4 linked regions of the Tamandua tetradactyla genome follow. The protein of the gene in region 3 interacts with the protein of the main gene of each other region in a pairwise test. Links are inferred from orthologs where the notes say so. Each region holds a gene or a part of one and is shown on either strand. Other genes may lie near its edges.

The links.
Region 1: the proteins of TRIM63 (region 3) and MYOT interact in a two-hybrid assay, tested with the Homo sapiens proteins (2 studies listed by BioGRID). The link is inferred for Tamandua tetradactyla from reciprocal best matches to the Homo sapiens genes TRIM63 and MYOT.
Region 2: the proteins of TRIM63 (region 3) and PKM interact in a two-hybrid assay, tested with the Homo sapiens proteins (3 studies listed by BioGRID and IntAct). The link is inferred for Tamandua tetradactyla from reciprocal best matches to the Homo sapiens genes TRIM63 and PKM.
Region 4: the proteins of TRIM63 (region 3) and PDHB interact in a two-hybrid assay, tested with the Homo sapiens proteins (2 studies listed by BioGRID). The link is inferred for Tamandua tetradactyla from reciprocal best matches to the Homo sapiens genes TRIM63 and PDHB.

Annotation. Positions count from the first base shown.
Region 1 is NC_135346.1:17,384,140-17,391,813, forward strand, and holds the start of MYOT (myotilin), read left to right. Parts: upstream 1-4,623; 5' UTR 4,624-4,753; intron 4,754-7,432; 5' UTR 7,433-7,598; coding exon 7,599-7,674. UniProt on the Homo sapiens protein: Component of a complex of multiple actin cross-linking proteins. Involved in the control of myofibril assembly and stability at the Z lines in muscle cells.
Region 2 is NC_135338.1:70,093,231-70,101,545, reverse strand, and holds the start of PKM (pyruvate kinase PKM), read right to left. Parts: upstream 3,463-8,315; 5' UTR 3,384-3,462; coding exon 3,334-3,383; intron 1-3,333. UniProt on the Homo sapiens protein: Catalyzes the final rate-limiting step of glycolysis by mediating the transfer of a phosphoryl group from phosphoenolpyruvate (PEP) to ADP, generating ATP.
Region 3 is NC_135328.1:200,138,641-200,146,257, reverse strand, and holds the start of TRIM63 (E3 ubiquitin-protein ligase TRIM63), read right to left. Parts: upstream 3,247-7,617; 5' UTR 3,108-3,246; coding exon 2,949-3,107; intron 2,066-2,948; coding exon 1,893-2,065; intron 1-1,892. UniProt on the Homo sapiens protein: E3 ubiquitin ligase. Mediates the ubiquitination and subsequent proteasomal degradation of CKM, GMEB1 and HIBADH.
Region 4 is NC_135341.1:26,472,304-26,480,459, reverse strand, and holds the start of PDHB (pyruvate dehydrogenase E1 component subunit beta, mitochondrial), read right to left. Parts: upstream 3,097-8,156; 5' UTR 3,023-3,096; coding exon 2,981-3,022; intron 2,886-2,980; coding exon 2,832-2,885; intron 1,926-2,831; coding exon 1,818-1,925; intron 1,728-1,817; coding exon 1,665-1,727; intron 1,557-1,664; coding exon 1,521-1,556; intron 1,363-1,520; coding exon 1,077-1,362; intron 539-1,076; coding exon 428-538; intron 117-427; coding exon 25-116; intron 1-24. UniProt on the Homo sapiens protein: The pyruvate dehydrogenase complex catalyzes the overall conversion of pyruvate to acetyl-CoA and CO(2), and thereby links the glycolytic pathway to the tricarboxylic cycle.

The sequences.
Region 1 (7,674 bases), on a different chromosome or scaffold from region 3:
TCATGCCAGAATCTTATCAATATATAAGAAATTTAGAGGTTAGGTGCCAAAATATCCAGCACAATACTTGTACATTTTTGGTATCATACAGAATTTAAAATCCCAGGAACTATTGCAACCGAGAAATCAAGATTTAAGGGATGATTTTGATTATTGAATCATTATATAAATACTCTTTTCTGCTTTCTGGCATATCTGAGTAGACAGGAAAATGCCTGAAATCTCTGAATTGTAATCCAGCTGCTATGATCTCTGATAATGGTTGTACAGCCCTTATCTTCTGCCCCTGTGATTGTAAAAACCTTGTGACTAACCTTCACCTGTACGTAGTTATCCAGTTTTTCAATTTTAGAGTCTTGTAATCACTAAAGATAGCCCCTTAATGTTTGTTAATGAAGGGTCTTGTGTCTGCCCAGAACTAACCCACCCCAAGTCCCAAATTATCTTGATGACCAAGACCAGATTTAACCTAAGAGGGCCTGTCTGACATGCTCATTCGCTTAGACTTTAACCTACAAGTCACCAATACCTCATTCTGCCATTTTCTTCCATACATTCTGTGACTAAGTATGTAATCAGTCTGCATATGCGCAATAATTAGATCACCACTAATTACATCATCTGGAGCCACTGTGCTCATTATCCTAAACCCTACCCACCTTTTCTCAAATACAACTATCCAAATTTTGGATAGTTTGGGGAGACAGATTTGGGCCGTTAATACTACATGCCTAGTAATAAACTCTTTCTCTCTTTGAAACCCCAGTGTGTTAGGAATTGTTACTGAGTGTGTCAGGCAAAAGAGTCCACAGCTTTTGTCTAGTAACACTATCAACACTCTAGACATTATGTGGTTCATTCCTTCTGTCATTTCAAACATTGAAAGTACGGTCTATATGTTTTTTCCCTGTTCAATTTATGTTTACATCTCCCACATTCATACCAGTATAAAGCCATTGAATTTTGTTAGATTTTTTACCAAGTCTTATAGTGATTATTTAATGTCTATAACTCATTTTGTGTTTTAGAGAAAACCTCCACTTTGAAAATCGACATTCTACAGAAACACATCTTTAATGCCTCCAGACAAAAAAGTCTTACAGCTAATGTTTGCACTTTGGAGTGCAACTTAGCTGGGAGGGCCTGACAAATGAATGGGAGGGGGCTATAAATATTTTTAGTAAAGTGTTACTTTTGACTTGTGCAGAACATGTAGAATATGCTCTTTAATTTAGTAAAATTTTTTTTAAAGGTAGAGATGCTTTGTTAGGGTAGCTACAATAATTCTTAATCAAAATTTCTGAAATTCTTTTAATTTTTTTCCATAGTTATTGGAAATTGTTTACCAACTATTATTTTTGTTCAAAGTGTAATTTATTTTCCTTTTTTCACCAACCTCTCTTGCAAAAAAAGAAGTAGTTTTCTGCTAATGATGCAGCATACATATGTTATATGCCTTTTGAGCTGCGTAACCTAATATTTGGTTTTGATAATTTGTTTTAGTATATAGCTGATAAATGTAATGTACATTAATGTTAGTTCAACCATATATTTATACTGTCTTGGAATGTGTGGTTATACATTTGTGGGAGAAATAATTTGTCAGTATTCACCAACTTGTAAAATCTTTTAGTGTGAAACGTAAACATCTAAATAAATAAATGAAAAAAATCAGCATTCTTGACTATTTAACTAATATAAATAAATGTAGCCTCTGTTCACTACATAAAAATTTTAAAAATTTTAAAAATTATAAAAAAATTCTTGGATTTTTAAGAAGGGATTTATTAAATAGTATTTAGGCCTGTGAAGTGAGAGAAATAGATTGCTAGAGATGGAAGGAATTAGAGTGCTACAGTAGGATTCCCTTTCATTATATGTCTATTCAGAATTTCAATAATCACAGTGAATTAAATGTAACCTGAAAATAAAATTTTCTTCAATCTTTAGTCCTTTTATCCTCACTGGACATTTTCCTTTTTAGTTGATAGAGCAAAAATGAGCTCCACCAAGTACATCTTACCTCTGACTTCAGAAGAAGTTCACAGCACTACTCTTACAATAGCGTATAAACTTTACATTTTAAAAACCAACCAAGACTATATATAAAGAGGGATGAATAAGTGACAGTAAAACAGCTGCCCTGTTTCCACTAATGATAGGACAAGAAAGAATTCTTTAACATGCATGCACTAAGAAGGTTTTAGTGAGAAAGGCAGGAAGTTCCTACATTTTGTGAGGCATTAGAATGATTTTCCAGAGGCCCCTACTGATAAATTAGAGAAAGAAATGGAAAGTCATTTTTGGAGGCATAGTGGAATATGGTTCTCCCAATCTGACATCTTAATGATTCTTTCAGTTTTAGGATTCTATGATTTTTCTCCAATAAGCAACTAAACCATTCAAACAACCACCTTTGCAAGGAAAATTTGAAACACCATTCAAAAAAGCAAAACAAATATTAAAAAGAAGAAAAAAAAGACATAATAGATTATTAGGCATACACCCTTAATCACTGGAAATGGTAGAACCTATCTTCCTTTCCTAAATCATCTCTTGATCCCCTTATTGTGGCAAGAACCTTTATCTTGATGAACCACTGAGTTGTCACACAGTAACCAATATCATGTCTTACAAAGAACTAGAGAAAAGAAGCGGAAAAGAATAAGAGGAACTAAAATTCTTCCTTAACTGTGGTACATTCAAGACCGGTGCTAGGCAAACTGGGGATTTAGCAGTTTGTCCTGGATATCTTACCAACTTGGCTGGTGGGGCATGTCGCAAACTTTTAGGTACCGAGGTACCTTAAGTCTAAACTCTTTTTGTATTAATCAAACCCTTTCTCAGTAAAGAACCAAATATCAGTCACATATACCACATTTAAAATGTTTAGAATAGTGCCTTGCTCATAGTAAGTGCTGTATGTGTTGGTTATTCTTATTTGTATTATGTCCCTTGCATTTGCATTTAAAATTCTAATTTGAACTAAAAGGCTTTGTCCCTGTTAATGGAGTTTAGAATATCAATGAGCGGCTGTAAGGAAATATTTTAAGGGACTCCTGAAGTAAGACTTTACAACCACACACTCATCAGGTTTAGCATGCTTTTTCTACTAAGTAATGGCTGTGTGTCCAGGTGTTTCAGTTTGCTAAAGCTTCTGGAATGTACACCAGAAATGGGATGGTTTTTACGATGGGGATTTATTCGTTTACAAATTTACAGTTCTAAGGCCATGAAAATGTTCCAAGTAAGGAATCAACAGGATGATACCTTCTCTGAAGAAAGACCACTGGCATCTGGGGTTTCTCTGTCACATGGGAAGGCACATGGTGTACGTCTGCTGGTCCTTCTCTCCTGGGTTTCGTTGCTTTCAGGTTCTGGCTTTTTCATCTTCTGTGGTTCCTTGCTTGCCTCTCCCTGGTCTTTTCTCTCTGTACTCTCTCCAAACTTCTCTCGGTAGAGCTTTTTCTGTGTCCTTTATCCTCTCATAAAGGACTCCAGTAAAAAGGATTAAGACCCCCTTGAACTGGGTGGGTGGCATCTCAATTGAAATAACCTAACCAAAAGGTCCTACCCACAATAGGTTTGCACCCACAGGAATGGGTTAAAAGAACATAGCCTTTTCTGGGGTATATAACAGCTTCAAAGCAGCTCACTAGGTGACAATTATTAAACTTTCTCTGAACACCAAAGAAAGGCATACCAGTGTGGTCAGCTGTGGGGAATTTTATATGACTTACATATGCTCGAACATCTATTTGTTGGACCCTAGTGTACATGATGATTAAGTCAAAATTGGGGTACCCATGAGGGAAGGGAATAGACAGATATGCTTTACACATTAGAACCATATCAAAATTGAAGCTACTAAATGGAAATACTTTACTCTTTTGGTCTGAAAGGAAACTATAACTGTTAGCCGTGAAGGGAGATGAAAGAGCTTTGACAGTACAGAGTCCTGATTATACAGACTGCTTGTTTCCTTAAATCTTTCAACAGTCCTTTAGAATACTGGGTCAAGAAAGAATACACAATACAGATTCAGCAAACTTGCTAAAGAAACTAAAACATGTTTTTCCACCACCTCTTCACCTTCCTAGTGACGTTAGTTACAGTCCTATTGCTTTCCTGCCTTTGCCCGGACCACACCCCCTTTCTTGGAACAATCTGTTTGAATCTGGCTCCACCCACATTCTCATTTGACAAGGCAAAAAAAGGGCTTCAGAAGAAGGACTAACCAATACAGTTCAATTTGGAGTCCATCCATCACTGGTCTCATCTCTGGAGAAGTCTTGAAGAACTCCAGTCTTAGAATACTGACCATTTTATCTTTGGTCTCTCTTTCTCTCTCTTCTGCAAGGAAGATTCAAAGTCCCACCACAATAAAGAAATTGCATTATTATACTTTTTTCTGCTTTCCAATTCACTGTTCTTCCCCCTCTATGAGCTTGCTCATAGTCAAAATTAACGTCTAAAATAAAGAGGCCTGCAAAAGAAGCTCATGTAATCCCACTCCTTAAATATCAGTAAGACATCTGAGATATTGTTTAGATTGTGGACTCTTACTTTGACATGCTAGCATAGGTAGATGGACAGGCAAGCACATCAGATGTCACTGTTTGGCAGCTGACAAAAGTCAGTGGTGCTATAATACTAAGCACAGAGCCACTAGATTAGTCTGTGAGGGAAGGGGATGCCTCTTCCTTCCCTTCAGTAGTGGGTTAAACCCAGCTGGCACCCTCTGGAGCAACGGGTAAGTCCCTTCTTTATTCCTGCTGCTGTTTTGGGCTTTGTTTCGTTTTCCAAATCAAAGGGAATGTACCAAGGTGATCTTAAGATAAAAAGTTTGAAAGCCACAACATCGTAATGATACTAGTATACACAAAGGTTTGAAGAGAAAGTGACCTATTCATTTCACTGAATCTCAAAGGCATTATAAAACAGTAGAGGGAAAGATAGTTGTGTCATTTTTAAATCATCATTAGTCCTTGAAAAAGGACACATTATCTGACTATAATTGTGGAAATGTTTTATGGCTTCAAAATATCCCCTATCAGTCTTTGTGCAAGTGCATGCTATATTAGAGATAGGAAAAAAATATTACTTAAAAAATTCAACAGTGTTTTATTGTTAATACTTTTGAAATATATGTAGCATTGTTTGAAATAAAATGACAGCATCATGTAATAGAATCTACTACAGAATTTAATTGTTGGTACAGTAACTATAAGCATGAGAAAAAGCCTTTTAGAGTTACTTGTGAAAGCATCTGTACAAAATTTTAAGATATGGATAAAATGAAACTTTTGAAAGAATTTTTTTATCAATTTAATTATTTTTATTTTTAGCTTTTATTATTTTAGAAGATAAAGTTAGATGATACAAATTTCTCAGTAGATATATTTAACTTCATTCCCAGAGAAATCTATCCTCGTTTCATCATTGTTTTGAAATCACTTATTTTTTAATAGGGCTTTTAAAATGTCAGTAATTGCTACTTATGTAAGCTGATTCCAAAATGTATATGGTAATTGACATTCTGAACATATATGTTAAGAAAAATAGTGAATCCTTTCTGGAAAATATCTACCAGCTACTCCTTAAACATTCTTTGCTAGTTGAAATGAATCTGAATAATTTGTTGAACCAGAAAGGAACTTAAGAACCAAACTGTGGGTTCAATTCTGCAATAGAATAAATACAACCTATACCTGTAAAACTACAGTCTTCTTTTTTTTTTTTGAGAAGATATAAAGCCTCCTTCGGGATGGTTTTCCCCCAAAACTTAAAGGTCTAATGTAGTTCATCAAACTAAAATACACTCTGATTGAATTTGCTTGTGTTCATAAACTTGAAATTAAGGAATATATGAAATTTTATGTGTTATTTTTCATAAGTTAGTATCTAAGATGTTTAGTTGCATTTTTATTGTTTCCTATAACTGCTAGTTTTAACTTAACTCAAAACTACATGCGCAGCTTTAGGATGAAATTGTTTGGTCTGGAAAAGTTTCATTAACAACATTTTCTTCCAGATAGGAACTTAAATAATTATAAGATTTTGTCTCAATAACGACAGTTTGGTTAATTTTATCAATTAAAAGTTAGACTTATTATTAACTGTTTGTTTATACAGTGTACAACAATGTATTTTGAACTAAATTACATGATTATTTTAATAAAAATAGGATCAGTATTATAGTAATTTATAAGGCTAATCTTTATGTGTAAAGTCTTCATAGTCCTGCTTAGGTTTATCATATTAACAGAAGCAATCAAAGGCAAATATAATCCTTGAAGCTTGATTTTAGTGGCAAATGATTCATCTAAGGAAAAGGGGGGATCCACTATAGGAGGGCAGAAGGACCACTGAGGAACTGAGATAAAAATGGCATCCAACTTCTCATGGTAACGCATAGCTAGCTTCACTGCTGTCTTACTTCCTTCGGTACCTCCCATTTGCCATTTCAAAAGAAAAAGTTAAAGGGATAAAACAATTTCAAAATTAGTCTAAAATTTATATTAAACAAGTAAAAAACAAAAAGTAAAAAATCTAAACAATTAAGAGAACACTAAGAACAATATCCAAAGTATAATCTAAAAACCAGAAAATTTACAAATGGCTCTGGAATGCTATCAGTAACATATATTATACACACAAAGGCATACATACAGACAGACAGACAGATACATACACAGTCACCCCTAATTATCATCTAGTTTGGTACTATGGTCAATTTAGAATCATGGGGAGAAAAAAAGTCAGTGAACTATCAGGTAAAAAAGTTCCACTCAAAGTTGACAACAGTGAACTGTATTTTGTGAAACTATGAAAGGGCAAAGTAAGTATGGACGTTAAAGTAATGTTCTTTACTTTAGCAGTATATTGCTTCCTTTCATTTACCAAGACTCTAATCATCACAGTTCATCAGGATATGAATTAATTGGTATCAGAAGGGTTGTTTATCTAAACTGATAAGCAAAAGGAAGAATTTAAACTGGATGAGAGCTGAAATGTTATATATTTTATTGCCATTAATTTTAAATAATACTAAATTTCTGTGGTTAATGAAACTGTGACCTCTGGGCAAAAGCTAATCATGAAACTATAAAATTATCAAACTGAGAAACATCACAGAATTTCCTTTCAAAATTATCACTTGGAAAATTTAACTTTGATCTCCTGTATCATGAAGCTCCTAGGCATGTTTTCTCAAGAATCACTTGGGGACAACCAAACACTGATTAATCCTTTTTCTTATTCTCAGGGGAAAAGTCATTTGCTAAAATCAGAGATAAAGGAGGTCTAGAAGCCAGGACAGTTCCAACTTGAAGCTACCTTAAAAGCATATAAGTGCCTAAAGATGTTAAATAAACAGTAGGTTGTTTAAAAAAATACTACAACATATACTAATCATTTTCTCTTTTTTAAGGAACAATATTCTTCAAGAGACACCCACTCTATCAAAGGATCTCAACAAAAAGAGGCAGACCAAAGTTGCTTCTGATTCCTTGCAGTCCCAAATACAGGACCCCACCCCTCCAAGAGCAAATCATTATAGTAATAACTTGCTTTCATCTTCCACATACCAGCTAAACATGTTTAACTACGAGCGTCCAAAACACTTCATCCAGTCACAAAACCCATGTGGCACCAGACTGCAGCCTCCTGGAC
Region 2 (8,315 bases), on a different chromosome or scaffold from region 3:
AAGTCACGCTTCACTCCACCAGTTCTTTCACAAAGCATCAAATCATTCTGCCCTAATAAATCAGCCCAGCCTATGACCCTGCATCTGAGTAAGTCAATGTTTACTCAGCTGGGGCTCTCTGGACCAGTTTTGCTCTGATGCCAACCTCACCACAGGGCCCAACCCAGCAAGATGGCACCAGATGATCCCTCTTTCTCACTCTAACACCACTCCCATTTGCTACTTATACATCTAAGACTCCAAGCTAGCAATGGAGGCTTTCAACTCCCAAATCTTCAGAACTCCAGTGGCCATTAGAAAGTAATGGCTTGGCACTAAAAGCAGCCTGTTCTCTAAGATCTGATGATCCTTTTCCTTGATGGAATAGGGAAATAGAATTTCACACTTTAGCCTCAGCAGGACTCACAGCAAAAAGCAAAGTCTTTTTGTTATCAGGCTACACAAACAAAGTGAGCTGGCTTCTCCTCCTTTGGAGAATGCCTGTGTTCATCTTTCACTACACATTAAAGTCTTGAGCTGTAAAAACAAACAAAATGAGTTCACTTGTAGGCTCAAATAAAATTCCCTTGCGCCTCTTTACTTCTTCAGCACTAGAACTAAGCAACCTGAATCTCAGCAGGTGTCTAAGGCCCGGTTTCAAACTAGAGTGTGAAATAAAGAACAAAAACCAATAATAAATGGGTCTAGCCCCAAATGGACAACTAAACTTCAGCAAACTAGAGAAATTCCTATGTCCTTGGATACCTAGGATTTCCTGGTTCGATCCTGAAAGTTTGAGAATTGATTTCACCTTGAAGGAGGAAAGTTTGAGTGAAACTTTTATTATGCTTTGCTATGTTTAAGCCTAGGCTTAAAAAACTGGGCAGAGTTCCTCAGCTGCCACTTGGGCATAATACCCATTCTAGAAGCAACAAGGGCCCTCCCTCCAAAGTCAGATGCAAGCAGGGCAGGTGAATGCCTCAACAAGGGGAGGCACTGGCTCAGAATTTAGAGGAGCTGACCTCAATCAGTGGAGGGGAGCAGGGGTTGGGTAGTGCCTGTACTGACCTAGTTAGTATGACTGTATGACTCGTCTTCTGACATTGACCTTCATAGAACTACTTCTTATTTTGTTTTAAAATAAATAAAAGAAACAAATTAATATCCATATTTCTACTACCCAGAACAGACCACAAAATTCATCCATATTTTCTTGTAGATTTTTTTAAAATAATACGAAATACAAATAATCAGTTCAGTTTTTCTCCATCCTCAAACCAACCTTCCTACATGCCATCATGAATTTTGCCACCCAGCCATTGCCATGAATTTTGTCTCCTTCTAGTTCTGAGTCTATATACAGTGTATCTATATTTATACTATGGTATTGTTGTGTTCTTAAAAAATTAGTCTAAAATATATACTGTATATATCCTTTTTTTGGGTCATCATTTGCTTTTTATACTCAGCACTACATTTACGATCCTTCTAGTCTGGCATATAGATCTAATTAATTCATTTTAACTTCCTTACTAGTCCACTGTATATCTAGTCCATTTTTTATGTGTCACCCTACTGGTAACCATCACCACCCCCACCATTAATACAATTTCCCTATATCAATCAATATTATGAAAACTCTTTAAGTACATGTATTCTTGTGTATTTATGAGTTTTATCTAGAAATGGAATCACTGGATGATAGAATATGTTTATTCTGTTACTATTTATTGCCAAATTGCTTTCTAATGCAGTTTTATCAATCCTGCTTTCCTTCACCTCTGCCAACATTTGATATTGTCAGGCATTTAAAATGTCTGCCAGGGTGCACAAGTGGTTCAGTGGTAGAATGCTCACCTTACATGCGGGAGACCTGGGTTCAATTCCCAAACCATGTACCCTTCCCCCCAAAAATGTTTGCCAACCCAATGGATGATCATTTGTTAGTCTGCTCTCTAACGTAGTAACAAAAGTGGGATATTGGGATAGTTTTGTTTAGAAAGTTTACTAGTACGTACACCTACCTCCCTACCTCTTAACTCAAAATTCCTGGTCTCTTCCAAAATGGGGAATGGCTATATGTCATCGCTGTTACTCAGCTGACCAGGTAATTCTTTTGGAGTCATCTCTAGAGACACCAGTTGTTTAAAGTTGAAAAAGTATCTGGATGTTGATGAAAGGTGTTCAGGATGGGCTCCATTCAAATAATATTTTGACTGCATATTTAGCTAGCAGCTATGAGCAACAATCTCGCTGCCCTACAACAGCTGGTATTGGCAGCCCACCCCACTCCCTCCCCAGCCTCTGACTGGCTTTCAAACACAGCTTGCTGGGGTCAGTTAATGAAAGGCTTAGAGCTTTCCAGGAGCTTTGCCTAAGGACATGGCCAGGGTGGGGGTGGGGGTAAAGGGAACATTGGTGGAGGGAGTCTCAGTGGCCACCAGAGGTACTGCAGCCTGGCTGTCCCTCCTACGTGCAGCCAGACACATACCATTGCAGGCGTGGGAATGCACCCCTTGGCAACCCCCCTGTGATCCCTTAGCTGAACAGCTGAACCAGGCCAAAACGTCTTGCAGAGGCTGCATCCCACTATTTACCACCCGTGCTGCTCATCTTCTCCTAAAATGCTTTAACGAAGCCCCAAATTATCAAACTAATCAATTAGCCAGTCTAGTCTGGCTCTTGGAGAAAAAACGCAAGCTCCCCAAAAGCACAGTGGTATTAAGAAAGGTACATTTCTTACATTTAGTCACACAGCACTATTCCTTATATACCACAACTGATGCTTAAAGTGATGACTCAAGGTCCCATAAGATTTTTTTTTTTACCAAATATGTACTTCACAAAGATCTTCAACAAGGTTGTAATAAAACTGCTCACAGGACAACTCATTCTTGTGGTTGGGATTTAACTGTGGACACTTGGAGTGATTATGAAATACCAATGACGTCAAATGCATCATTTTCCTCTACCTTGATCCCCAGTCTTAGCTATTGCCAAGACAATGCATCCTCACTTGCCTCCATAAAAGCTGAAACAAAATAAATTAAAAATCAAGTAATATCATGTCCACTTCAGCCCCTGTGCTCAAAGGATAACCCACTGAGAGGCTGCTATGCCCACCACAGAAAAGGCTCAGGAATGCAGACAGATAGACTGCCTCACCTGGACACAGGGCTCTGCTACTGCACCTAAGCTCTTAAGGCAGTACAGAGCCTGAGAATTTGACCCAATAATTTTTCATTTAGTTGAGACATTTTTATTTGGCAAAAACGCATGCTTCATTATTTGACTACTGAAAAGGGAGGGGACTTCTCAAGCCTCCAAGTACTGCAATGCAGTTTCCCCACTCACCCGATAAGGAGAATTCTTTCAAAAGCAGCTAAGTTGAAAGGTTGAGTCATCTTCCGCCCACAGCCTCCCACTCACCCACCTGGTGATGGGTTACATACCCTTCCCCTCAGAACAGCATAATGTATTACCAACAGCACCTTCACGCAACCAGGAGGCAAATTATTTGGTAACAATGCTGCTGCAGAGGAAGTCCTGATCCAGGTCCCTCCTCTGTACCCTAGGGAGTGGCCACACCCTCAGCACTGCCAACTGGAGGTAGCTATCCCTGCCTTGATTCCTAGCTTCATACCTACCAGTACAGAACTAAGTCCCTGAATCTCACCTGGAAACCTGCAAGGATTGGTATCTGAAGATTTCAGTCTTGGTGTTGCAAGTTTGTTTCTACTCTTACAACCAAACACCAAAGCCTGAAATTATTCCTCTCCCTGCCTTCCTTTCATCAGCTGGCTTAGAAGACCAGAGATCTCATGAGACCAAAGAGCCCAGGTTGCCAGTGGAGGTTTGCAAAGTAATATTATTAGTTACTTTGTAAACAATGTACATGAATTCCTCAGGGGACTGGTTTCAGATTTCTGGCATTTAAAGATCCTGACTGGAAGAGTAACTGTATGTGCTTAGGGATGGTAGAGAGACAAATTGAGAAGTTCAGGCCCTCATGGTCTACTATGAATTAAGCAACTGTGCTCAGTGACCAAAATAATAAATGAATTTGAAGGCATTTCTCCTGGACATCTCAGGAGAGATGAGATTTTATCAACTGCCATTTGTGCAGTACCTTCTAGATGCTAGACACTGCACTGTGTCTTTACTTACATATACATCAGTAGGTGTGTGCAGAAACCCATCCTTTCAACAATTATACAGATAATATTGCTCCCATTTACATATAGGAAACCTACGTCCAGAGGCTGAATTCGCTCAGTCATCTCAGTATGTTGTGAAGTCAACCTGATTCTAAAGTCTGTTTTCTTCTCCACAACTCACCCATGCCTCTGCCCATTGTTACTGAAACTTCTGGGCTCATTTTACATACATGGGGTTGGAGGCAGGAAACAGCAATGTTCTAGGTTTGGAGAAGATTATATAAGAAGTCAAGGGATGCCTTTCTATAACTGTGTTTCTCAATAACCTTCAAACTACAAGGTGATTTCCTTGCTTCTTCAAATCCAGTGTGGCTGCCACCTTGTGGGCATCCTGCCGCTCTGTCCCCAGCACGAGGCTAGTGGCTTCCTCATAGCACTTACCGTAATAAAATACATATCCTCTATTTGGATTGTGAACTCTGGGAGCTGTAACCGCTGTGGGCATCCCGATTTCCTCTTGTATATCACCCCTACTCCCCAAAACTGGCTTTGGCACAGGAGTTTTACGGAGGGTACGCAACACGTGGCTTCGAGCTCTTCAGATTCCCCTCTCCTCTCGCTTAACCTGCTCCCTCCACCCCGTGGCCTCTCCATTCTACAGTCAGGGAGCATTTGCTAATAAACGTCAGCAGACACAAGGAACTCCGTGAGTGACTAAAATGCGAGGAGACCACGGGAAAGCATCCAGCAGCTTCTCGGCTGGGCGGTTAGGTCTGGCTGGTAACTGCCCCGCAGGGCCAGCCATCTGGCGGGACAGGTCCCGGGCACAGGACCGCTACGTGCAGCCTCACCGCGGCGAGATGGAGCCGCGCGACGCGCCCCACCCCCACCGGGGCAGCGCAGACTTCTTGCAGCACCCGCCCCCCCCGCCCCCCCGCCTCATGGAATCCGGGGAAGAAACAGGAACTTGCCACAGGAGGAACCATCACTTCTTCCCCTGCTGCGAGGAGGGCCTAGGGTTACACAATCCTGTGCCCCGGGCCGCCGCCTCATCCCCTCCAGGGAGCCTGGCATCCCTTAGGCTGCACAGTTGACTCAGCCGGGCGACCAGTACACTTCGGGCGGTGACCCACTGCCTCCCGCCAAGACCACAGGCCGTTTTCTCCTGACGGTCTGGGAAGCCAGGATGAAGAAGGACAAAACTGAGATGGGGGACCTGGAAGAGGAGAGCGGACGTGACCAGAACGGAGGGGGCGTGGACGCGACCAAAATGGACGGGAAAGGGCGGGGACCAGGGCATGAATGAGGGAGGGGGTGAGAGGGGGAGGAGCGGGAGTGAGCACATGAATGTGGGAAGGGGTAGACATGAGGGGGCAAGGACGCGGGAAGGGCCGACGGAACCCGAATGGAGGCGGAACAGAGATGGGACATAAAGGGGAATTTAGAGGAGCGTTTACAAGGAAAGCATCGAAATGATGGGGACATGGACAAGCTGAACACGAGGGGGAGGAATGGGTCTTGTACTAAGGCGGAAGGGTAGGAGGGTGAGCAGGGGAACACAGTGGGGGATGGGGGAGAACAGGAAGGCGAGGAAGACATCAGATTAGGAGGGAATAAAAGAAGAAAGGCGAAGATGGAACCAGATTGAGGAGGGAGAGGATGAAACCAGAAGAGGGGTGGGACTGAGGAATGACAGGGGCTGGCTGACATATCTGAGAAAGGAAAGAGAGCTAAGGCTTTCTGAAGAGCAGGCCGTAGGCGCAAGCAGCCTTTCTCCTCTCACCCCAGGCCGGTCCAAGATGCTCAGGATCCTGAACCACCCCTGGAGGGGTGACCTGAGGGAAAGGCGGGCTAGGATTCCGCACCACCCGAAGTCCAGCGGGTCGCGCCTGAACCGCCCAGCCTTCCCCGCCGCTCACCTCCGGATGGTGTTGCTCAAACTGCGCTGCAAATGTCGGGTAAGCGGAGCTCTAGACGCGACGCTCCTTTGCGGGAATCAGACGCCTCAGCCTCAAGGTTATCACGGCTGCAGAGCCGCTGCACTCCCTCCGCGGTCCCGCCCTTCACCCAATCCTGGCTCTCCGCACCCTGGACCCGCCCCTCCGCGTTCTCGCTCGGTTCAGTCACCTTCAGTAAGAAGTGCAGCCCAAGCGGAACGCGCCTTCAGGTTGCCTTTTTGGGGAGAACTACATTCCGCAGCGGAAGGACACATGATTAAAAATTACCTCATTGACAGACTGTAAAAGCCAATGGGCAAGCGGCGAGGTAGCAGGACCCGCCCTCGGAACCCCGAAGACCTCCCTCCCGGACCCCCAGGCGCCCCGGACACCTGTTGCCGCCAACTTGGGCTGCGGGACTGGGTCTCTTTTCTCAGCTCCCAACCCAGTCAACCCAGCTGCCCTGGGCTATCGGTCAGTTCTCAAATTTCTAAGTCCACGAACGGTGTTCTCCCAGCTCCATGCTGAGTACTCCCCACCCTTCTGGATGCCTGTCCCAGCACACACCTCGTAGAACAGCCGAACAGGAGGTGTGGCGCCCAAGACGGGACCAGAAGGGGGAATGGAGACACATGGGATGGTAGGCGGCCCAGGCCCCCTTCATAGGCGACTCAGGCACTACGGGGCTGGGAGGGGAGCTAAGGGGGGCGGGGAGAGGGAGCCCAATGCTCATTTGTCTTTAAGTCTATTTATTATCCTAGGATCCCGGAACAAGGAAGGACTGGTTGAGGCCCTGAGAATACATTTATAGGGGGCTGGAATCTTGCAGAACGAGTGCTTGAGAGTAAAAAGCGAATGTAAAACATTAATATTAGGGCAGAGCTATTAAGGAATATCATTAAAGTTGATAATGTATGCAGGGGTCCGCATTTCCATTTTCAACCTTGTCTATTTAAATCAGTATTGTTGGAGCTTTTCTTCAGTTTTTTAGAAGACATTTTCCAATTCCCCAGTTTTTAGCCAATAACCAGTGATGAGAACACTGTTATCAATGAAACAGCTGTCAACTTTTGCCTTCATTCAGCCAACCTCTGAGAGTAGATATGTTTCCCCATTCAAAATAGTGGATCTGTTCTCTTAGGCTCCTTCTTTCGTTTTCCTAGAAAATAAGACCAATGGGTGTAACCTGCTCAAGCAGGCACTGTGCCTGCAGCTGAATCACAGGACTTTATTCTGCTTTCCTGTTAGCTCAGATAAGCTGGGGAGAAGAAAGTGGCAGCTTAAATTTTTTTAGATAAATTTTTTTCTATTTATTTCTTTTGTAAGCCTTTTCTCATTCCTTTGGTTGTCAACAGAAAGTAAATGCTTAGTTATTAAACTGTGAAAGGACATGTAGTTGTTGAGAGAAAAAAATATCAAGCCCTACCAGGGAGTCAGTTTCCTCCCTATCCAGAGAAAGGGGGATGGCATAAATGGCCCTATGTGACCCCTGAGCTGAGGATGAACTACAGTGCTGGGCAACACTAGTGTGCAAGTGATCTGGAAAATGCAATGCTGGAATATGTGCAATATAAGTTTAAAGTTCTAAATATAGATATGTTCCCGGGATTATATGCACCTGTATTAAACTGGAAATCCAGTGGCAAACTGTTGTCCTTCAGTACAGATTTTGATCACCCGTTATGAAAATGCTGCCGTAACACTCTTAACAGAGACTTAGCATATCTTTGCTCACATTAGATGCATAGTGAAATACTGCTGCAATGAGTTTAAGGAGATCAAAGTCATTTTTCTGCTGAGAAGCAGTATAATATTGAAGAGTTTGGGTTCCATATTTTAGTACCAGTTTCACTCACTAGTTCTATGACCATGTCCTGCAATTTAATATATAAGAGTCCAGTTCCTTAACAGAAAGTTGAGAGGGCAGGCACGGTTGGCTCAGCAGGCAGAGTTCTGGCCTGCCATGCCGGAGACTTGGATTCGATTACTGGTACCTGCTCATGCAAAAAAAATTAAAAAGTTGAGAACAAATCCTGCTTCATAGGTTGATGTTTGATATGATGTACGTGAATGAGTCTAACACAGTGCTCAATAGGTATTCTCTTTCTGTAGGACTAGTCCTGGAGGGTAGTCCTTGTGATCAGTGTCAGAACATCATTCTGGATCCAAGTAACTCAGCTTGCCCTTGTTCTCTAGGTCCTTTTCCTGAATCTTGATTTCTTTGGTTCAAGAACAAACCCCA
Region 3 (7,617 bases):
GCATAGAGGGAGGTAACTAAATACAGGCAGAAAAAAGAAATGAAAAAGCAAGCCGTGAGGGTGCACCCAAGGCCAGGAGAAGGAGGCAGGGTGACTGCCCCAAGACATCCAGCTGTTATGTGGGTAACCCAGGGCCATTCAACAGTTCAGCACAAGCCTTGATTCATCGACCAGAGACTCATTCCAGGGTCCAGAGTCTCTTCTTTCTTTTCTACCCGAATGCACAATCTTGATTGCCCCTCAAGTTCTTCAATAAGCCCCTTTGCATACCTTGTCTTTCTGCATCTTGAGCCCAGGTCTCCCATGCTGAGAAGGATCTCCCTTTGCCATCTGTTTCTGTCCCTGGGGAAGGGAGCACTGGGATGGCTGAGAGGAGGCACAGGTCCTGTGCATGTGGTGCCTTGTGCCCACCACCATCCCAGATGCCCAGGCTTCAGCATCTGGGTTCAAATCCAGAGTGTTCTGCCGCTTATCTGTCTCAGACCAGTGATTTCACCTCTCTATTGGGATCATGGCAGGAGTTGTTTATAACGAATGGGTCATGCCTGGCACAGAGCAGACCCTCAATGGACGGCAGCTCTCACTGTCATATAACTGTGCAGGAAGGTCTTGAAGGGGTCAAGAACAGTGTGTCCTTCATAGTTAGCCACTAAGTAGTATTTTGGCATGATAGTGGTTTTATCAACAGTCTGCTTATATTTTTAGGGTCATGCTCTATCACCATGAGAGCCCATCTAGCAGAGGGCTAGGAGTCAATCAATCCAGGCTTTCTCTCAACTTAAACCCTTACTAGCTATGTGACCTTGAAAAACCTCTGCACCTCTCTGAGCCTCCATCTCCTCATCATAAAATAGAGGTAAGAATGCCATGTACATAAAGTATGGTGCCCACACCGAGTAGGTGCTTAGTAAATAATTTTATTTATAAATCAAATAATAAATATTTGATATATATATATTTTTTACCTTTCCTATTGTTTTCCTATTTGATAATCACAATAGTAGGTCTTATTGTCCCCTTCTGCAGACAAAGAGAAACAAAGCCCTAAAAGCCAGTGACTTACCCGAGATCCTACAGTGTGTTAGTTTCAAGTCAGCCTACAAACACAGTGCCCAGGCCAGGGCCTTTCCTCACTGGGCCTGCTTTGTCCCCCTCCATCGGGGAAGGTCCTGCCCTCAGGCAGGTGCTCAGTAAAGGTTTTAGACCATAATGGCAGCAGGTCAGCAACCTGGAAACTCGTCAGGATGTCCTGATTTGTAAAGATCGCTCCAGCTTGAAGCCTAACACCACACGTCCTCCTCTGTTCACGGACAAATTGTGCCTGAGACTGGGCTGTTGTTTTATAAACAGGGAGACTCAGCGCTCTATGGCCCAGGCCCACTCCTAGCTCTTCCAATGCCTAGCCATGAATTGGAAGCATGACCTTGGGGAGATGACTTCAACTCTCTGAGCCTCAGCTTCCTCATCTGTGCAATGGGAATAATGAACGCTGCGCCTGGTGCATAAAACTGTGGTGAGGCCCCAAGGTGTGGCATGCCTGGTGCCCAGTGAGGGCATCCAAGGGTGGCTGCTGCTATCAGGAGGGAGAATCTGGCTGCCTTCTCACCGGACACTTTTTCTCTGCTTATTTGGGTTATTTTGCAGGTCCCAATGCCTGTCATTCCTTGTCACCTCTCATCTTTCCCCTGGTTTCTCTCTCAGTCTCTCCTGCAAGGCAGCCTGACCCCTCCCCATCACTGAGCTGGGGCATGGGCCTCTGTCCTTCAGCCTGAGGGAAATGGCCCTTTGGACTGGCTTAGGTCCCAGCTGATGGAGGAGGAAGGAGCCTGGGCGAGCTGTGCCCGGCATGGCTGGGAAAGGAGGGCGGGATCCCAGTAGCCCGGAGAGCTGACCTGGAACACTCCTGCTTGTAGATGTCGATGATGTTCTCCACGAGCAGATTCCTCTGCAGACCGTAGACTCCGTGGCGGTCCATGACCACCTCGTGGCGGCAGGAGGGACAGCGGAACCGGCCTCCGGACATGGACACTGAGCTGCCCCGGCCAGTCCAGTAGGGATTTGCGGCCTGCAGATGGCAAGGTGGAGGTGGGCCTGGGCGCCTTCCCAGCCCCTTCCCTAACTCATCTCCTGTTCCCCTCCCCCTTCGCCCACCCCAGTCATCCCTGCCAAACCCACCCTGAGATGAGAACCAGCCCATCTTACAGACGGATCATCTAAGAAGCAGCTGAGCAATCAATAGGTAAGCATTGGCTTTGGGAATCCACAGAACTGGGTTCAAGCCTCATCTATTCTCTGAGTAATTTTTGGCCAAGCAACCTTATCTCTCTAAGCCTCAGTTGGACCATTCATGAAATGGGCATAATCAGTAGAACAAGCCCCTATGGCTTCTACTTTGAAGATAAAACGGTGAGAGGGCATTTTGCAAAGTGCTCCTGGGGAACCCAGAATCCTGCCCCCCAAGCAGGACGTCTACTTCCATTCCTTCTTTAGGGAAACAGAGCGCCCCCCCCGGCCTCCCCCACCTTCATATTATAAGGAACAGCCTCAAAAGAGAAGATGCTCTAGTGCCCAGTGCCCCCTCACGCCCCTCCTCCCAAGGCTCTGGGCCCCCTGCCACCGCAGGCCTGGCTCCAGCCCCAGGGGTCTGTTTTCTCTCTCTTCTCTGCCTGCCTCCCCGACTTATCACTTGAGGCATTTGACTCTTGAGTGGAGAGTCAATTGCCACGCTCAGGGCAGAGGTGGGGAGGAGAAGCAGACGTCCCGGAGAAGGACCCGGGCAGCAAGAGCTGCCTCCCCACCCCGCCCCACCCAGGCCGACATGGCGGGGGGGCCTCATTTTGGGGAAGAAAGAGCCAGAAGACTCATTTTCGAGAGGCAGGAACCAGCCTCGGTCCTGGTCGAAGGGAGAAAGTGTTTTATCACAAAGAAGCCGAGCGGCCGGCACTGACCTGGAAGATGTCATTGGCACATTTCCGGCACAGGTTGTGCTGACACGGCAAGATGACCACCGGCTTGGTAAACATCTCCAGGCAGATGGGACAGATCAGCTGCTTCTCCAAGTTCTCCATCGGGTTCCCATCCTGGATCAGGTTTGACTTATAATCCATGTCGTCGGTGATGTGGGAGCCCACTTGGCTGCCTCCTTCACCCGCACCTCACCCCAGGCAGACCTGGAGCCCTGGCCTTTGTCACAAAACACCCACCCGGAGCCCCTCTGCCTCCTTCCTCCGGCGCCCGTGTTCTGCCTTGGTCCGAGCCCCTCTGATATTTATAGCTGGGCCCCAGTCACATGAGCCCCGGGAGAAGACCAGCTGAGCATCCCCATGCCAGGCTGCTGGCGGGGCTTGAATTTCCTCCAGGCCTGAGAAGCTCGCCTTCTCATATCACGTGTGGGGATGAGCAATCTTTGTCCCCTGGGATGGGGGTCGTAAACAAGAACAGCCTGTTCAGGGGCTGGCTTCCGGGAGGACTGGGGACCCAGTGTCTCATCCAGGAATTGGTCGCCCCACCCCCAACTCCGGGATGGTGACTAGGGATGGGACCCATCCAGTGGGCCACTGGGATTTGAGGGGTTAATGGCCGATGGCCCCCCCCCCCCAAGGACAGGAGAGTGACCTTCTGATACACATCAGGTCCAGACCCTCCTCTAGAGTCTTGGGCAGCTCCCAAGATGAGGGTCAGGGCAAGCCCTCTTTCTGAGCCCATCCCTCTGCCTTCGACCTGAGCATCGCATTTTACTGGAGACTTTGATGACTCTCCCAGTCCCCCCATCCCTTGGCCGCCAAATCTGCTTTAATGCTACAAGGGCTTCCTCAAGGTGCAGTTCAGTCCTCTCATTTTTCAGATTGTGAAACTAGGCTCCAGGGATGGAAAGGGCCTTGTTCAATGTTACTTAGAGAGTAAGTGGCAGTGAAGAACCTTATCCATGCAAACACTTGTCTGAGCACTTACTCAGGTGCTAACTAGTAAAGGTGACAGATGAGTAATTCTTTTGCCTGACCTGTGAGGCTCACAGCCTAGGAAGAGAGCTAGCCACAAAGTCCCTGCCTAGATATTTAGAAGTGATTCAGATGCTCCCCTCTATTCTCTGCACAAATTTTAATTTTTCTCCCTGTCCTTCTGGACACCTTTCATGTTGGCAGGTAGAAGTCATTTGAGCAGTTCCAATGTCTCTTTTTAGGGAAGCGCCTCGAGAAAAGCAATGCTGGAGCCATCCTGGGGTGGGAGTGTGGGTGGAGTATCAAGATGAGAGCCTAAGAGGTCGAGGAACTTACAGGGGGTGTGTCCAGGGTCTCAAGAGAGAGATTCAGCAGAGTTGATTCACTCACCTCAGCCTCCAGAGGATTTGGTGATTGGAACCAGGAGATAAGACCTAGAGAGTGGTGAGGGCAGAGGAACCAACCTTGAGAAAGGGAGAAACGAGAGGGACAAGGAGGAGGAGGAGGAGGCAGGAAAGAGAAAGAGAAGATAGGAAAAGAGGAAGAAGAAGAAAACCCAGTCGGAAGAAGAAGAGACCTAAAAGAAAGCAAGAAAATTTTAAGGAAAGGGTAGTCCCCGTAAAACGTTAATGGCTAGTTATTGCCAAGCACTTCCTATGTGTCAGGCACTTTGCTGAGTATTATTTCATTCTAAGATCTCAATGGCAACAGCGCAAAGAACCATTATAAACCCTATTCCACAGGTGAAGAAACTTGGGCACAGAAAGGTACAGTAACTTGAATGAGGTCACAAGGCCAGCAGAAGGTGGATTTAAGACATGAACCTGGATATATTGGGAACAGGAGCTCAAGCGCCTCATGTCTTCACTGAACTGTGGTTCAGCACTGCCAGGCCAGCGGGGGGACAAAGGATGATGAGGGTGGGAAGAGACCATCCCTTCTTCCTTGCTCACGAAAGTTCCGTTCACGCACAGGCAGCACCGTGCCTCTCCACTGCCATATGAGACAAATCATGAAAGATTCATGCCTAACATGGTAATCCCATTCCCCTCTGCCTAAGGGTATACAGGTAGCTATGCTAATGAGACTCAAGGTCAAGTCTGCTGGGGGAGGGGGAATAAAGGAAAAGATTTGATACAAATTAATGTGTAAGGAGAAAACTTCCCTCTTGCCTTTGAATGGGGTGGTGAGAGGATGGAGCAGCTATCTTGCAACCATGATGAGACAAGCCTGAAGGAAAAAGAAATCAACACTCTGAGGATGGAAGAGAGGAGCTAAAGAAAGCACCTGGGTCACAGGTGCCTTCCGTTGTGTTGCCCATTTATACAACTCTGAAGGTGTTAACGATGTGAAATAACACATCATTGTAGTGTGATTATTCTGTTGCCTGCAGCCAAAAGCATACTATATGCATTTATCTTTCCAATTCCTAAAATGCCAGCGATTCTCAGATCTCTAATTCCAGTCCGGACTACTCTCACCTCAAAGCGGCAGATGTTGAGGATCTCTATGGGGTCTCAAGATCACTTCAAATTCACCCTATCCCAAACAGAACATATCATCTTCCCCCACACCTAGCTTCTCCTTCGGTTTTTCCTGTCTTGCTGTGCTGTCATCGACCCATTTACACAAACCAGGAAGTTGGGAGTGATCTTAGGGCTCCCCCTTCCCCCCATTGCACACCTAGTAATATGGGTCAGGCAGGGATCCATCTTTGTGTCTCCTTGGTCATATTGCCATCACCTGTTTGTAAGTGTGACACTCCCTCCCGTCTTTGAAGATTTTGAAGGCAAAGACTGTCTTTGTTCATCTTTGTATCCTTAAGGCCCAGCTCTCAATAAATAATTCTTAAATGAATGAACAAGTGAATGAGTGAACGAATGAATTAAATAAAGGGATTGCAAGGTCACTGTCAGGCTTGGGGGAAATTAAGTACTTGAACAAGGTTTTTGGTGGAGATAGTAGAGCCAGAGGAGAGAGAGAGCACTGGAAAGTGGGAAGGAGAGCTGAGGGAGTACATCCTAGAGTCTTGGGAAGGAGCTAGGAAACGGTGGAGGAGAGAATCAGAGGTGTTGAGAAATGGAGAGAAAGGTGCTTTTATATGATGACCTTGGTCAAAAGAGAGTTGAGGTCAACTCCTTGATGCTGACGCAGAAGGAATGTCAGCATGAGAGGGTGACGGAAAAGGTTTGGGCTGGTCAGTGGGAAACACAAGAGGAAGTGCCCTAGAAACCAGTGGAAGGAAAGTCTGGGAGCAGAAGAGCCTTGCTGATGTTTCCAACACAGATTTGTCATTTGTGAGGAGTCATTCGCACGGTTCTGTTGACTTCCCACCCACACTTGGCAGTCCAGACACAGAAGCTGAGCAAATGGACAGTGGGCTCAACTCCAGCCTGGGGGTTGGCAAGCCCAGCAGTGCTGAAAGTCAAGGGGTGAGAAGGGAAATTCCCACATAGGCCATGACTTGTCATTTAATCTTCACAACAGTCCTGTAGGGGAGGTATTATGATCTCCATTTTCCCATGAGGAAATGAAGTTCAGAGAGTTCATTGGCTTGGCTGGTCACCCAGCCCCAAGTGGCAGAGCTGAGAAAGGGTTCACATCCAAGGTAGCCTGACTCCTAAACCTGTGCTCCTCCCATTGAAACATTTATTGAGTGCTTACTGCATGCCAGGCATTGTGCTAAGCCCTTTGCATTCATCATCTCACTCAATCCTCAAAATAACTGAGTGAGACAGAGACCATGATTTCCCCTGTTTTTCAGCTGAGTTACAGAATCTCAAAGGGATGAGACTCTTGGTCAAGGGCTCCTAGCCAGTCAAAAGCTGAGTCAGTATCATTACCATTTATTAGAATGATAAGATCTTACACGTGGCAATTTGTTGTTTTTGTCTCATTGGTCCCTTCCTTCCTTCTGCGCCACTGATTAATCACAGAGTGATTTGGGGGCATTATGATTCTCATTTTTACATATCCAGAACTGAGATTCAGAGAGGTTAAGTAACTTCTGGAAGGTTCCCCAGCTAAATAACAGGCATCTCATTTGGGACTGTCTCCAAAGTCTGTGCTGCTAGTGGGGGAAGGTGTAGTGCCCTCAGGGGCCAGACTGGGTGGGAGGCAGGCAAAGTATGAGGGAGAATGGTCTGGGCCTGGCAAGCAAAAGGGAGACATGGAAGGAAATCATCACGATAGTACTATTTTTTATTAATTTAGCACTTGCAAGTGACTGGACATCTATCGAGGGCTCCCTGGAATTATTTCTTCCAGTCCTCAAAATCATCGTGAGTAGGGCATGCCTATTATCCCCATTTTACAGATGGGGAAATTAAGGCATAAATCAGTGTGTGGAGTTGTCCCAAGTTCCACAGTTGGTATAGTCAGAGCTGAAAAAGGCCCATTTAGCTCCAAAGTCTATGTATGGCCTTACCCACACTGGTAGCTAGAGAGGGGATTTTTCAGAAACTGGAGATTCTGAGGTTTCTTGACTCCAGGGAGAGAGCCCTGGCCTGGGGCTTGGACACCAGGCCTCCATCTCCAGCCTTGCCAGAGACTCACCATGTGATATCTGGGAAGCCACACCCCCTTCTGTTTCCTTATCTGCCCAGTTGGGAAACTGTACAAGATGATCCTCGAGGGTCTGTCCACCTCCCCCATGGCTGGTTCCTCAGAACAGTGCTTC
Region 4 (8,156 bases), on a different chromosome or scaffold from region 3:
TTAAGAACAAGAATGTCCACCTACCTCACATTCAACTCCCTCTTTAGATAACACTGTTGCAGCTTCTAAACAGTGACCAACAGGTCTTGAATGAGAAACCACGGTTACATGCGTCCCTGAAACAGAGTGGTTACAGATCAGAGGTCAAGTTGAAACTAAAGGTGTTATCCTGCTCTATAGAAAACTGTGGCTTTTGTTCATTTGTAAAGTCTTCAATTCAACTTCATTCCAGTGAGAGGAGGAATGTGGCAGCTTCCTAGAAACTAAATGCGAACCTAATGGACTGAGGTTTAAAAAAGCACAAGTATATGAGAAATCACACCATCATACACTCTTTAACTTCAGCTCATTGCCTAAATTTTTTAGTCAAAGTAAAGAGTAAGTAGAGGGGCTGGATTAAAAAATAGTGTTTAAGAAGTTCTCTTACCTTGCCTTTCTATTTTGGCTTTTCCAATAGGAATCAGAAAATCCTTTGACTGAGCCTCATCAGGAAATTCAAAAGGAACTCCATACATCAGTTCATTCTCTAGCATCACCACTGCAAAATATTAAAAACATTTAAACAAATGTGACTACTCTAATTAAATCCAGAATGACTGAAAATATATATACAACAATATTATTCACATTGTGAAGAGATCCACTGTGCTGATTAGGAAGCCTCACTTCCAATTCGTCCATAAGTCTTGAGGATCGTTTCAGTTATTTACATTTGTAGTTTGATCAATCCTAATCATAACTATTGAGATTAAGCCAGTGTTGTAGGTATGCAGAAAAGTCTCCTTCACATAAATGGCCCCCTTATGATCAGAAATAAGAAAACAACCATATTCTTTTTTTTTTTTTTTTTTTTTAACATGGGCAGGCACCGGGAATCGAACCTGGGTCCTCTGGCCTGGCAGGCAAGCATTCTTGCCTGCTGAGCCACCATGGCCCGCCCACAACCACATTCTTTACCATCTTAACTGTATCTGTAAATCATTAATGTTTTATATGAAATATCTAAGCCCAGCTAGAAACCTCCAATGGTCCCTTCTATGCAAAGATTTCATTTTAGTTCTTTAACAATCTCTGACCTGGATTGTTATCCCGAATGGCTGATTTAATAAGTCCTTTTGCATCTTCTGAATTCCAGGGGCTGACCACCTTTAAGCCTGGGCAGTGCCCATACCAGGCAGCAAAGCACTGTGAGTGCTGGGCAGCCACACCTGCCGAGGCACCATTGGGCCCCCTGAAGACTATGGGCACATTTTGAAGGCCACCTGACATGTAGTAAGTCTTGGCAGCTGAGTTTATAACCTGGTCAATGGCTTGCATGGAGAAATTGAAGGTCATAAATTCACAAATGGGCCGCAACCCAGCCTGTCAAGTCAAAAACATGGACGTTAAAAGGACTAAAACTCACAGCACTGAGGAATGGCAAACAACCACTCCTTTCCTCCAACATTCAAATGATGTCTTTGAACAGTTACATTAAAAGAAATCTCTTTGGATGAGCTTCATATAAAAATATTACATACCATAGCCGCACCTACAGCAATTCCAGCAAAGCCCATCTATAAATATAAACCAAAGGACAATCTGAGTGAAAACATAAAAATAACAGCAATATACCCTTTAACAAATATGTCCCTCAAAGGTCTGTTGCCTGCTGGAAGCCTTACCTCTGATATAGGGGTGTCTATGATCCTCTTGTCTCCATATTTCTTCCATAGGCCTCGACTAACCTATAATTAGGGTTGTCCTCATTACTTTAAAGTATATGGGGAGACAAATGGTCACTTAAGTTTTGTATGATTTTCACATATTTTGTTTACCTTGTATGCCCCATCATACTGGGCAACTTCCTCCCCAAGCAGAAATACCTTCTCATCTCTTTCCAGCTCCTCATCCAGTCCCTGATTTATAGCATCACGAACTGTCACCTGTCAAAGTATGGGCGACAGTCCGTAAGATACAGGATAAATTTAACATACTATTGAGATTCTCTCCCTTTATACTTACCCTGGGCTGTCCACAGCATACAAAATCAAAAGCAACACCCCAACAGGATTTCTCTTAAAAGTTCAAAAAATTCTAAAAGTAACACTTCTACCACACACAGCCAGTCTTTAACTGGATGTGTTAATAAGAGATTAATGTGCACCCAGGTATAAGAAAAATGCTTGCTGCCCAGATCAGTTCACAAGCTGTTTCCTAAGTAGAAAGTATAGCGAGTTGTTTTATGTCCACACTTAGGAATTACTGGGCACAGAACACCCTTAGGGATTATTGGACACGACTTCAAGGAAACAACTGACACTAAGCCTCTGAGGACGAGACACTGTCAAACACTGTTCAGCATCTTGTTTAACCCTCAGAAACCTGCCTAGGAAGTACTATCTAACCACCCAGGTCAAATCCTCCGGTTAAAAAAAGAAGAGGCGGGGAAGGAAGGAAAAGGAGCTCCAAGTCTTTCACAGATGGCCCATCTGATTCCGACCACACTCGCAGGGTTATTTCACCACTGACGCCAGGCGAAAGAAGTAGCACGAGCCGCACTCGACTACGGGCTCTGGGGGCGAAGGGAATTCGGAAGGGGCAAGCACAGGACAGCGAGAGGCCGGTGCCTAACCCCGCTTGGGGCCCAAGAAGGCTTCCTACAGGAGTTCTAAGGAACAAGCAGGAATGTGTTGGACAAAGGGAAACGAAAAGACTCGGAGCCGCACCGCCCGCAAGCCGCGGAAGTCACGGTTCCGGATCCCGCGACCCCCAGCCCTCCCCTCCGCGCAGGCGCGATCCCGGCTGCAGCCCGGAGATGAGGCGGCCCCCTTGCTTGCCCAGTCAGTTACCTGCAGCGCTGCCGGCACCGTCCGATGGAAGCGCCTCCTCAGCAGCCCGGACAGCTACCGGGGAGACAGAGAGAGAGAAGACGGTCAGAGAATATGCAGGGTGGGTGGGATCCGCGCAGAGTCACCGCGTCCCGCGCGTGGCTGCTCACCTGCTGAAGGGGCCTCCGCACTAGCCCACTCACTGCCGCCATCTTGCTGGTGTCCTCTAGCCGCCGTCTAATGACAACATAGCGGGCCTAACAGACGTAGGCAGACCCCGCCTCTCCCGCCAGCGCGGGCCAATGGCATGGCTCGGTGCCTGCGTGCCCCGCCCATTCTCCCACCGGTTGAGGAACCAAGGAGCAGGGCTGGGGTGCTCCTGCCTCTCCATCTGGGATTATTATTCAACTAAACATTGACGAAAGGTTGGGCCAGCTATCTGCTGGCAATAGTATTCTTTCGGCACCAAGCAGTGCTTGCACACACTCTCATAATCGGGAGCCTACTACCTGAGGAGTGCCCAGCTTCTCTGTACAGCGCTGTCTGGTGGTTCCTTAGAACGCGACCAAAAGCTTTGATAGTATTCATAGTATCATATTTTTTCTTTAAATTTATTTTTAAATTTTGAAATCATTTCAAACTTACAGAAGAGCCGCAAACATAATGCAGATCCTTGCAGAGAACTGCTGCATACCCTAGCCACTGCCCCAGGTAGCAAATCCACCAATTTCAATATTTTGCCACATTTGTCATATCATTCTATCTGTTCATCTGTCAGTCCATCTTCTAAGCACTGTCTTCATTTTCTGAATATATGAGCGTAGGTTGTGTACATCGTGTTCCTTGAACACTTAATACTTCCATATGCATTTCCTAATAACAAGGATATTCACTTATGTAACCACCTTAAGTACCATTGTCATGTTCAAGAAATTTAACATTGACATAGAGCTTAAAGTCTATATTCCAATTTTCATGTCTCAGTAATGTTCTTTTGGATCTTTTCTCCTCTGTTATTAGATTCTGTATAGGACCATGTATTGTATTTCATTGTATTAGTCTGTTTAGTTACTCTTTTTTTTTTTTTAACTCTGTGTGTGAAATATAACATATACAAAAAAGCAATAAATTTCCAAGTACATTTTAACAAGTAGAGAACAGATTTTAAAGTTTGGTATGGGTTACAGTTCCACAATTTTTCTTTTTTTCTTCTAGCTGCTCCAGGACACTGGAGACTAACAGAAGTATTAGTATAATGATTCAGCAGTCATACTCATCTGTTAAATCCTGTCTTCTCTGTTATACAACTCCTTCTCTTTAAATAACATATTTGCATAAAAGCAAAAAATTTCAAAGTACAGTCGAACAATTAGTTGTAGAACAGATTTCAGAGTTTGGTATGGCTTATAATTCTATAATTTTAAGTTTTTATTTCTAGGTGCTCTAAGATACTGGAGGCTGAAAGAAACATCAGTATAATTCACCATTCATACTCATTTGTTAAACCCAACCTTCTTTGAATCACCTTTGACCTTTCTTCCAGTTTTCTGGCGTATATGGGCTATACCCATTCTAGCTTTTTCATGTTGAAAGGGGGTGTTGATAATATAGAATGGGGGATAGAACTAGTTGATGTTCTGGAAGGGTTGGCCCCTCTGCATTTTAGGGCTTACCTGGTCCAGGGACCCATCTGGAGGTTGTAGGTTTCTGGAAAATTACCCTAGTGTGTGGAGACTTCGTAGAATCTTATATAATGCCCTAAGTGTTCTTTAGGATTGGCTGGAATGGTTTTGGTTGGGGTTCGGCAAGTTATGATATGTAGCAGTGTCTAACTGAAGCTTGCCAAAGAGTGACCTCCAGTGTAGCCTCTCAACTCTGTTTGAACTCTCTCAGCCACTGACACCTTATTTGTTATGCTTCTTTCCCCTCTTTTGGTCAGGATGGCATTGGTAATCCCACAGTGCCAGAGCCAGACACATCCCTGGGGGTCATCTCCCATGCCGCCAGGGAGACTTGCATCCCTGGATGTCATGTCCCATGTAGAGAGGAGGACAGTGATTTCACTTGCAGAGTTGGGCTTAGAGAGAGAAAGGCCACATCTCAGCACCAAAAGAGGTCCTCCAGAAGTGACTTTTAGACATACCTATAGGTGGGTTAGGCTTCTCTACTACATTCATAAGCTTCACAAGAGCAAGCCTCAAGATGCTCTTACTTTTTAAAATTGCAGAAACAAACGTGACATAAACTTTATCATCTCTACCACTCCCAAGCATACCATTTAGTGGGATAAGTCACATTCATAATGTTATGCTAGTCTCACCACCATTCATTGCTCACACTTTCCCATTACCCAAACAGAAACCCTATGCCCATTACTGGGTAGTTACTTTGGACTTTAATTCTGTTTGGTTCATTATCATAACTTTTTATCTCTTTATTTTTACTTTATGTTCACCATCAACTTCTTGATTTCCTTTTGTTTTTGTCCATGTTTGCCTTTAGCTCTTTTTAGCATATTTAGGACCATTTTTGAGTCTTTGTGAGGTATATCCTAGGTCTGATCTTCCTCACTGATGGCTTCTAATGCTTGTCTTCTTTGCATGGGCTATAGCTTTCTGTTCCTTTGTATGTTTTGTAATCTTTTGTGGCAACCTAGACATTTTGATATTTTAATGCATTATGACTAGAATTTAGATTCTGAAGTATCTGTTCCTTCATCTTGTATCCAGCTAGAGCTATAACAGAGATGTCAAGATTTCCTTGAATGTGGATTAAGAGAGAGAGAGAGAATATCTTTCCCAGTCTTTGCAGATTGGCCTGCACTAGTGTTTAGTGTTTAGTGATACACTGAGTCTAGAGAATAGCCTGAGGCAAAAGCCTGGGAAAACCTCAGTTATTTCTGTGCCTCCATCTTGTCCTAGGAATTTCTGGCCCTAGGAATTTCCTCATTTACATAAATTTGAATGTCCTTATTCCCCTAAGAAACAGTGTTTCCTTGCAATTCCCATTTGCAATATTATGTCCCATTGGTGGGCACATGTGCCAGTTTGAAACTATCTTGTACCCTAGAAAAAACAAGTTTTTAAATCCATATTCAGTACTGCTGGGTAGGATCTTTTTTATTGTTTTCATGGAGATGTTAACCATTCAGTTGTGGGTGATAATTTTTGATTAGATAGTTTCCATGGAGATGTGTCTCCACCCATTCAAGGTGAGGTTGCTAACTGGAGTCCTTTAAGAGGGAACCATTTTGGAAAAAGCTTTAGTGCTGACAGAGTCCACACAGTCAGAGACCTTTGGTGATGCAAAAGGAAAACACCCCCAGGAAAGCCTAATGAAATGAGAAGAAAAAGCTAGCAGATATTGCCATGTGCCTTCCCAGCTGACAGAGGTGTTCTGGACCCATCAGCCTCTCTTGAATCAACATTACTTTTCTTGGATGCCATAGTTTGGACATTTTCACAGCCTTAGAACAAAGGTGACTTAACAAATTCCCTTTTTAAAAGCCATTCGGTATATTGCATTCTGGTAGCTTTAACAAACTAAAACAGCACAACTGTGTCAGGCAGCTGTGATTTGACTGTTCTCCTATAGCATCCTGAAAGAGAGCTCTGTGAGCCACTTCAAGGCATAGGGCAAGTTCTGGAATGACAAGCCTGTTATGCATGTCATTGTTCAGTCCTTCAGACTGCCCCCCAGACAGATTGGCACAATCACACACGCTTCCTAGGATATATACAAAGATTACTCTCTTCCCTCCAGAGCCAGGACCAGGAGCCCACATGGGAAGCACGTGTTGACCCAGGGCGAAGCCTGTAGTGAATGGGGGAGGCGTCAGCATGGACACCACAACGCTTTCCTACCACTTTCTTTTTCTTTGTATGCTGTATGGCGGGGGTCACATTTCATTCTTTTTCCACGTGAGTATCCCCTTATTGCAGCACCATTTGTTGAACTTTTTTTGTTTGATTTGGTTTTTTGTTTGTTTGTTTTTATTTGTTGGGGAAGTGCATGGTCAGGAATCAAACCCAGGTCTCCCACATGGCAGGCGAGAATTCTACCACTGAGCTACCCTTGCACCCCCTTCCTACCATTTTTAAGTTGTCTTTTTCTTGATTTGGTTCTTGCTCTGTTACTGTAATCCTTTAACTGTTTTCTGTAGTTTTGAGTAAAATTTTTCAGCCGGTTATGCTTGTTAACAAAATTTTTGTAAGGGGACCTGGAATGTCTCACTCTGCCATTTTAATGGAGGGGGGTAGGCCTCTGCTATATACTATTTCTGTATTAATTTTGCAGCTCCCCTCTAAGTCTGGAATTATTTCAAAATTAAAAGTTAAAAAAAGTGAAATCATACAATATGTAACTCTTCAAGATTTTCTCTTGTCACTCAACATAATATTCTTGGCATCCACCCAGGTTGTTGCATGTATCAGTATTAATATTTTGGTCTTTTTTATTGCTGAGTATTCTATGGCATGGCTGTATCGGTTTACCCATTTACACACATCGGAAAACATTTGGGTTCTTACCAGTTTTAGCTGTTAGCAATAAAGCTGGTATGGTCATTTGTTTACAGGGTTTTCTGTGAGTATAAGTGTACATTTCTCTAGGATAAATACCCCGAAGTTCATTTGTATGGTAAAGTGTATGTTTAACTTCTAAGAAACTTCTGACTTTTTCCAGTGGCAGTAACATTTTACATTACCTCCAGCAACGTATAAGATATCCAGTTGCTCTCCATTCCTGCATTTGGTATTATCATTATTTTTAAATTTGAGCCATTCTTAGAAGTATATACTGATATCCTATGTGCTTACTTGGCATCAGTCTATTCTCTTTGAAGAAGTATCTGTTCATGGTATTGATCATTTTCTAGTTAGATTGTTTCCATTCTGTTGAGTTCAGAGCAATCTTCATAATTTCTATATGCAAATCCTTCAACAGATATATGATTTGTAATGTGTTCTCCTAGTTCATGGTTTATCTTTTCATTCACTAGAATGGTATTTCTCAGAGCAAAAATTTTAAAATCTGTGAAGCCCAGTTTATCAACTTTTTTCTTTTATGGATTGTGCTTTTGTTATTATGTTTAAGAGCTTTCTGTTTAACCCAAGATAGAAAGATATTCTCTCTCTTTTTTTTTTTTACGTTTAAGTATATGATCTATTTTGAGTTAATTTTTAAGTAAGATGAGAGGTTTACATTGAGGTTAATTTTTTTTTAATTATGTCCAATTATTTCAACACTATTTTTGAAAAAACTATACTTCCTTCACTGAATTGCTTTGTCAAAAATCAGTTGGCCAGGTGTGGCCAAGATGGCAGTTTAGCAATGTGTGCATTTTAG